Danio rerio: one gene and its partner. The protein of the gene in region 1 binds, or shares a complex with, the protein of each later gene. Links are inferred from orthologs where the notes say so. Each region holds a gene or a part of one and is shown on either strand. Other genes may lie near its edges. The genes, in order: armc8 and gid4.

Region 1 (3,829 bases):
GCTTGAGGCATCAAAACAATAAAAGTGCATAGTCATTAAAAATATAATAAAATTTAAAATAGAACAATTTAGGGAGACAGTTCATTCTTTTAGACATTTCGAAAAGCATAGGTCATATTTTATATTTTATAATAAAAAAGTTTTTTTTTTTTTATAAATCACGCTGTCACATTTTATTTTATTTTTTATTTTTTTCTGAAATTTTATTTGAACATTATAATAATATTAGGTTTAAACAGTTTCCACTTGCATTTAAAATGCATTCTATGTACAGTTGAAGAAAAACTTAACAGCCCTCTGGTGATATTTTTTATCAAATTTTTCCCAAGTGATATTTAACAAAGCCAAACAAAGGCAGTATGTCCTTTATTACTTTTTCCTTTTAAAGAATATCTTATTTCTTTTAGTTTGATTGAAATAAAAACCCTTACATTTTATTTTTTACAATTTTTTTTTAAGTCAATAGTTTTAGCCCCTTTAAGATTTTTTTTTCAATTGGCTACAGAACAATCCACTGTTGTCCAATTACTTGCCTAATTAAGCTAACTTGATTAATGAACATAATTAACCTAGTTAAGCCTTTAAAATGCACGTTAAGCTTATTATCTTGCAAGAACCCCCATAAGTCTGAATAACTAGTGAGAATATATAGCCAGAAAAATAGTATGTGCAGCCACCATGGAAAAGGCAAAATAAATGAGTTTTAGAAAGCAAATATTAAAACTATTATGTTTAAAATATTTGAAAAAGAGTGCTAATTTCACAGGAGGGCTAATGATATTTATTTCAACTGTTTATGAAATCCCTATTGATTTCCCTTTGACCCATGTACATGTATGCAGTTACCCTTTTAATATCAGTGATGGCGCTGACAGAGCTTGGGTATTTAAAGTAGTCAGCTAACATGGATACAAGATGGTCTGTGACACTGGCAATGCGTTGCAGTTCAATATCTGGCTCCATTAGGTAGGCCAGCGTCTCTGCACCCTCCACTCTCTCCTCCAGTAACCGCTCTTTACTGCACATCCGGACCAGGCATGGCAGAGTCTGTCCAAACAAACACACACACACACCCAACTTGTTTATGTGTGCTGTCAGCTTTTAAATTAGTCACAATATGAATAGGTGTTGTTGCTACCTTCAGTACAATGCAGTTGTCTTCTGTCCTGATGGCTCCTGCTCGACACATGTATGTTAAACTAGGAGGAAGAGTAGGAGTATATAAATTGAAGAGTTCACACAGGTAAATTTACTTTAAATTAGTGGCACAGATAATCTAGTGGCAAATCATTCCTCCTGCTCTTTTTCAAACTTTAATTCTTGTCAATATCTATTCACCTTAGTCTTCACATAAGCGCGAATGCAGCCATTTGAATGTCTTTGGCTTGAGACTTCCGGTCTCATTCACTTCCATTCATTTTTATATGTTAAAAACAGCTTGTTAAGCTTCTTGATGTTGTAAATTTTCTTATTATAATATTCTTCTTGGTCTGTATAGTCATGCAAACACAAGTAGTTTGACTGTTTTCTGACATTATTTTTGTTCTAGTCATTTCTCCAATAGTCAACTAAATTGGAAGTTCTAAAACAATCGCAAAAAACGAGAGCACTTCCACATTGAAGAATGAGGTTAATACTGTTAAATTAAAATACAGGGGAAAATTATAATATAACTATATCATAGGAAAAATAAATAAATAAATATTAACTGCAGGATGAGATTTACTCACCATTTGGCGGCTGTAAGCTGCATTTCGATAGGTTTGTCCCTTTGCATCATTCTAACAAAAACCTGAGAAAGCTGCTCCCCATCTACAAGCACTGAAAACACACACAAGTACATACAGTAAAACAAATATTTATTAAAGGCATGTTTCAGCTTAAAAAATATCATTTAAAATGCATTACATTTAATGATGTGTTTTCTATTTACTTTACTTTAAAATCTAAAATTTTCTCCTTTGAATTTCCAGCAGGCACTGCTTTAGTCTTTATTTGTCCTCCTGAGGTGTTAATATTCTGATTTGATGCTTTGAAACAACAATGCTGCTTTATATTACAAACATTTTATTTAATTATTTCGTAAAAAACTTTTAAAATCTTATTCTTAGATTAGAGTATTTTAACAATCTTAGATTATTTAATAAATAGAATGAATAAACGACTGAATAAATGAATGATTAAAATATTATACTGTCACTTTTGAATCATTTAATGCAGTGGTTCTCAAACTTTTTTCATCAAGTACCACCTCAGAAAAAAATTGTTTCTCCAAGTACCACCAAAATGAGTAGTATTGAATTACAGTAGTGTAGTAGGCCCAGAAAAGCAGCTACAACTCTGCACAGTTATAAGATGTGGCAGATTACCTCAGAAATATAGGCTATATGTCATATATGGCATATTATATACATCATTTTTGATAAATTTTGAAATGTATGTAGCATGTACATGACATATTTCATTTCTCCACGTACCACTAGAAGGAAACCCGCGTACCACTAGTGGTACACGTACCACAGTTTGAGAACCACTGATTTAATGCATCCTTAAATGAAATAATACATATATAAAATAAATAATAATAAAATAAAATTATATATATATATAATTTTGACACAAAAATTTTAAGCGACTTAGACTGAAATTACTTCTTTAGCAACAATGATGCAAAAATCAGCAAAATCAGCAATTACAATGCAATCATATTTACTTGTAAGCATCTACAGAAGTATAGAAACTCTCAATGGAGATTCTGAATGCTATTTTATACTTTCAAAAACCAACTCTACACTCTCATTTCACTGAACAGTGATTCTGATATTAATAAAGATTAAGAAAAAAGATGGACTGCACACAAAAGAGATATTCTTGGCTAACTGTTAGCCAGAGGGACAAAATAATGATGATGGTAGGAGAGAGAGGGTCATGCTCACCATTCACCAGTGTCATGGAGACCTGAGCGTTCTCATAGGCCAAGACTGAGAAACACTTCAACGCCTGCATCCGTACCTGCAGAAAGAGTTGTTCCCACATTATTACTCAGAATACACCAACCATTATTAAAAATACAATAGCTAACAGAAAAAGCCACAAGGTTACATATCGTACCTTATAAGATGGAGAGATAAGCAGAGGAGCGATGTTCTGGATGGCACCGTGGTTGAACAACACTGTCTGATGTTCAGGAGTCTGAAAAAAAAAAAAACATAAAATAAAACCAACAAACGCTAATGGAAAATATATGTAGCATTTTTACAAAAATTATACATTTGTACTTTCCCGTTTCATACTAGTTTTAATATATACAGTAAATAGCGCTAAAATTGGGTTTTCAGGAATAGGTAAACATGGGCACTGGACATGTGCCCAAGTAGAATACTTAGCATTAAGTGCAATGCTGTACAAGCTACAGAGAAAACATTTGTTAGACAAACCATACATAAGCAGATAAATGCAGGATGTTGTGCAAATCATAAAATGTATTAGTCTACAAATGATGCACTACAGTGAGAATATTTGGAGGTTATATATGGCAGTGGTTCCTAAAATGGGGTTGATAAATATATAACTATATAAATATATATATATATATATATATATATATATATATATATATATATATATATATATATATATATATATATATATATATATATATATATATATCGGCTGAATGTGGAGGATGATTTCTTACTGTAGTCTCCAAAATTAAACCAAAAACTTACTTGCTGAGCAAACAGTGTGCCCACCAACCTCATTATGTGAGGTTAATGTTAAAATTAAGCAAATTAATAAATATTATTTTAAAAAATTACATGGTTGTTAG
Region 2 (3,829 bases), on another chromosome or scaffold:
CAGTTAGCGCGGTTCGATTGGCATATGTGAACAGGGCAATCGCGCTCTGTTCCGCGCTCCGGGATCGCTCCGGGATCGCTTGAGTGAGGTGGTCTCGGCTCGATTGAAATGAACCCTGGAGCGGTTCGATTGCAGTGAGAAAGCGATCCGAGCGCGGTTATATCACAGTGTTTTATGGATATTTAATAGGCATACGGCTATATGAAGAGAGAATTATGAGTAGGGCGGGAAGTTTCGCGAGTCTCCTGATGCCTGCAAACAAGTGATGATCTCCCGGTGATCTCGCGTCTCCCTCCCGGTCCTCAAATAGGCATCGTCGCGCACCCTTCTCACCCCTCCCCACCGCATCTCTCCTCAGACACGTCGCGCGCGCACCCTGACAATCACCACCAAACCACCACCTCTCCTGACAGCTGAGCGGGACGCTGCAAAATAAACCCTGACACTCTGACCAATGTGAGGAGAGTTTACTCGCACGTGACTTGTTTTAGCTCTTTAGGTCCGATTAGAAACTTTGCAGTGTGAAAGCGAACCGCTCCAAGAGCAAAGAGCAACACTGTAACAACTGTAATCTCTGTTTCAGAACAACTGAATCCATTCACAGGTGTGAAAGCAGCCTAAGACAGTGGGCCTCCCTTTTGACACAACTTATCCATTGCCGCCCCCCTCCTCCCAAACACGCACGCACACACGCGCACACACATACACACACAAATTCTGGAGGTTTTCCTGCTACCTCAACATGCTTGGTTTCAAGGTGTCGCCGAAGTTTAGCGAGTCTCATGCTGTCATTAGCCAAAATATCTTGACAAACCACACATAAAGGTCGTGGTTCATCAGCTGGTCCTGTCCACGTAAATCCAAAATCAAATACTGACCATCATATCGTCATCTTTTGGGTTTAAGCCCTAAACTTGAAGGCTTTGAATCGGGGGGTCTCAGAAACCGATTCATTGTTTTAGCAGCATGATTAGCAGGCATATACCTGTATTGGCGGGCTTGCCAAACAGAAGCGAATTCACAGCTATGGCCTTCTGGGTAAAAAAGGTTTTCTTATTTTTGACGTATTATTTTTTTTACCTTGGTTAAATAAAAACGTTTAAAAATAATAAAAAATACACATAATAATTCAACTTAGTAATTATATTTTTATTATATAATATTTTTCCCGCCTCACACTTTGAAAACCCCTGTCTTAGTGCATGTGTGCAGTGTTTTGTCCTTGTAGGTGCCATCATTAGCCCTTCACAATAAATACTTTTGGCTGTGCGCTACTATTGACTCAGAAATGATTGCGATAAGTGATGATATTGTCATTTTAATCCACCGATTATATAATAATTGTACAGTGTAACAGATTAGCACGTTCAAGAGACACACACACACACACATCTCATTCTTGAGGTTATTTAGATTTTCTAATATTCACAAAGGAAATCTGCAGATAGAATCGTTGATGTAGATGTGAAATCGTCCTTTTACAACAGCTTATTTCTGAATGCCAATCAGGTCACATATGCTGGAGATATTGATATATATGTGGAAACTATGTATTGATCTCCTGTTTAGTGTGACAGTCTGATATATTGATGACTGTGACAGGCCTACTAATAATCAATCATGGACCCGAGTCTCTGTTGTAGTGGAGTAGGGTGATTTGATGTCAGATTTGAGCTCAGATTAGCTCTTTGACAGATATCTGCTGAATGTGTTTTGCTCTGACCCACATTCGCGGAGTGTGTTTAATAATAGTCTGTGCTCTGGATCTGCAGCACGTGACCATGGAGGACTCATACCTGTGCGGATACCTGAAGATCAAAGGCCTGACGGAGGTGAGACCCACTCTTCATTTAAAGAGACAATCACTTCTATGCGGGGTTTAACCCCAGTAGTGTGTGTCAGCAGTGTGTGAGTATCTCCAACCTCTAATGGTCAACAGTGATTAATTGTGTTTGTTCTAATCAGACTTTGATTGACATTCTCCCTCTGTACGTGTCATCAGAGGAGGAAAGCCCCGCCCACTAACCTATCTCTACCTCATTAAGGACTTTAGTGCTGTTTTGGTGACTGTTGCTTTAAATTTAAATGAGTTTGTGCTCTTTTGAAAAGAGGGCGGAGCTACTAATGCCTTGACTTCTCACTCAGGGCTGCTGTTTATGCTAATTAGATGGAGAGATGGGCACTAGTGGGCGGGGCTTTCCCCTCACACACAAAGGGAAGTGTTTCCTTCATCAAGTCTGATTATAACAAACTCAATTTGTTGACCATCAGAGGCTGGAGATACTCACACACTGCAGTATTTAGACCCATTATAAAAGCAATTTGTGCATAATAGGTGCCCTTTAATAATGTTGCCTTATTAATGTTATATCAGTGTTATAAGCACACACACATCTGAATCTACTCTCTCTTCAGGAATATCCCACTCTTACTACATTTTTCGCTGGGGAGATCATTAGCAAAAAACGGCCATTTTTAACCAGGAAATGGGACGCAGACGAGGATGTGGACAGAAAACACTGGGTAATAACGATGTGTATAATCTTTGAGTCTAATTATGGATCATCAAGTGCCGTGACTGTGGTGTGGAAGCTGATCTGCTGAATGTGCTCTTCGTCTCTCCCAGGGGAAGTTTCAGGCCTTTTATCAGTATGCAAAGAGCTTTAATTCAGATGATTTCGACTATGAGGAACTTAAGAATAGTGATTATGTCTTCATGCGGTGGAAGGTAAGCTGGAGCTTATTATTTAGAGCTGTTTGGGGGTCAGATATTATTATTTCCTCCAGCACTGGCACTGTAAGTTGATCAAAAGTGACAGTAAAGACATTTGGATTATTATAATATAACTAGTGCTGTCAGAAGATTAACCACATCCAAAATAAAATCTTGTAATTGCTATATATATATATATATACACACACACACTCACCGGCCACTTTATTAGGTACACCTGACTAGTACTTGGCTGGACCCCTTTTGCCTTCAAAACTGCCTTAATCCTTCATGGCAGAGATTCAACAAGCTACTGGAGATATTCCTCAGAGATTTTGCTCCATATTGACATGATAGCATCACACAGTTGCTGCACATCCATGATGGCAATCTCCCACATCCCAAAGCTGCTCTATTGGATTGAGCTCTGGTGACTGTGGAGGCCATTTGAGTACAGTGAACTCATCGTCATGTTCACCAGTCTGAGATGATTGAGCTTCATGACATGCTGCGTTATCCTGCTGGAAGTAGCCATCAGAAGATGGAGACACTGTGCTCATAAAGGGATGGACATGGTCAGCAGCAATACTCAGGTAGGCTGTGGCGTTGATGCTCAATTGGTACTAATGGACCCAAAGAAAATCTCCCCCACACCATTACACCACCACCACCAGCCTGAACCGCTGATACAAGGCAGGATGATCCATGCTTTCATGTTGTTGAGGCCAAATTGTGAGCCGAGCATCCGAATGTGTCAGCAGAAATGGAGACTCATCAGAGCAGCAACGTTTCTCCAATCTTCTATTGTCCAGTTTTGGTGAGTCTGTGTGAATTGTAGCCTCAGTTTCCTGTTCTTAGCTGACAGGAGCGGCACCCGGTGTGCTCTTCTGCTGCTGTAGCCCATCCGCCTCAAGGTTGGCCGTGTTGTGTGTTCAGAGATGCTCTTCTGCAGAGCTCGGTTGTAACGAGTGCTTATTTGAGTTACTGTTGCTGGAGCCAGTCTGGCCATTCTCCTCTGGCCTCATCAACAAGGCATTTGCGCACACAGAACTGCCGCTCACTGGATGTTTCCTCTTTGTCGGAGCATTCTCTGTAAAGCCTACAGACGGTTGTGCG

The links.
Region 2: the proteins of armc8 (region 1) and gid4 are in contact, whole or in part, in a cryo-EM structure (PDB 7NSC), measured with the Homo sapiens proteins. The link is inferred for Danio rerio from reciprocal best matches to the Homo sapiens genes ARMC8 and GID4. Residues at the interface, in NP_001350870.1 of Homo sapiens: Glu309, Pro310, Asp311, Val312, Asn371, Glu373, Arg406, His409, Arg413, Ser414, Val415, Gln416, Arg419, Thr420, Gln423, Asp424, Val444, Ser448, Cys451, Asn452, Leu455, Phe457, Ala483, Val486, Asn487, Trp490, Met493, Asn494, Phe497, Gln498; in NP_076957.3 of Homo sapiens: Leu104, Ile105, Pro106, Pro107, Pro108, Pro109, Ile110, Gln114, Pro115, Gly116, Val117, Ala118, Thr119, Gly125, Gln146, His147, Tyr154, Cys156, Tyr158, Phe174, Glu176, Phe239, Val241, Pro242, His244, His292, Ser293, Ala294, Pro295, Ile296.

Annotation. Positions count from the first base shown.
Region 1 is NC_133184.1:29,559,369-29,563,197, reverse strand, and holds part of armc8 (armadillo repeat-containing protein 8), read right to left. Parts: intron 3,193-3,829; coding exon 3,112-3,192; intron 3,013-3,111; coding exon 2,937-3,012; intron 1,822-2,936; coding exon 1,731-1,821; intron 1,200-1,730; coding exon 1,139-1,199; intron 1,048-1,138; coding exon 847-1,047; intron 1-846. UniProt on the Homo sapiens protein: Component of the CTLH E3 ubiquitin-protein ligase complex that selectively accepts ubiquitin from UBE2H and mediates ubiquitination and subsequent proteasomal degradation of the transcription factor HBP1.
Region 2 is NC_133178.1:67,129,843-67,133,671, forward strand, and holds part of gid4 (glucose-induced degradation protein 4 homolog), read left to right. Parts: intron 1-1,772; coding exon 1,773-1,832; intron 1,833-2,415; coding exon 2,416-2,523; intron 2,524-2,626; coding exon 2,627-2,728; intron 2,729-3,829.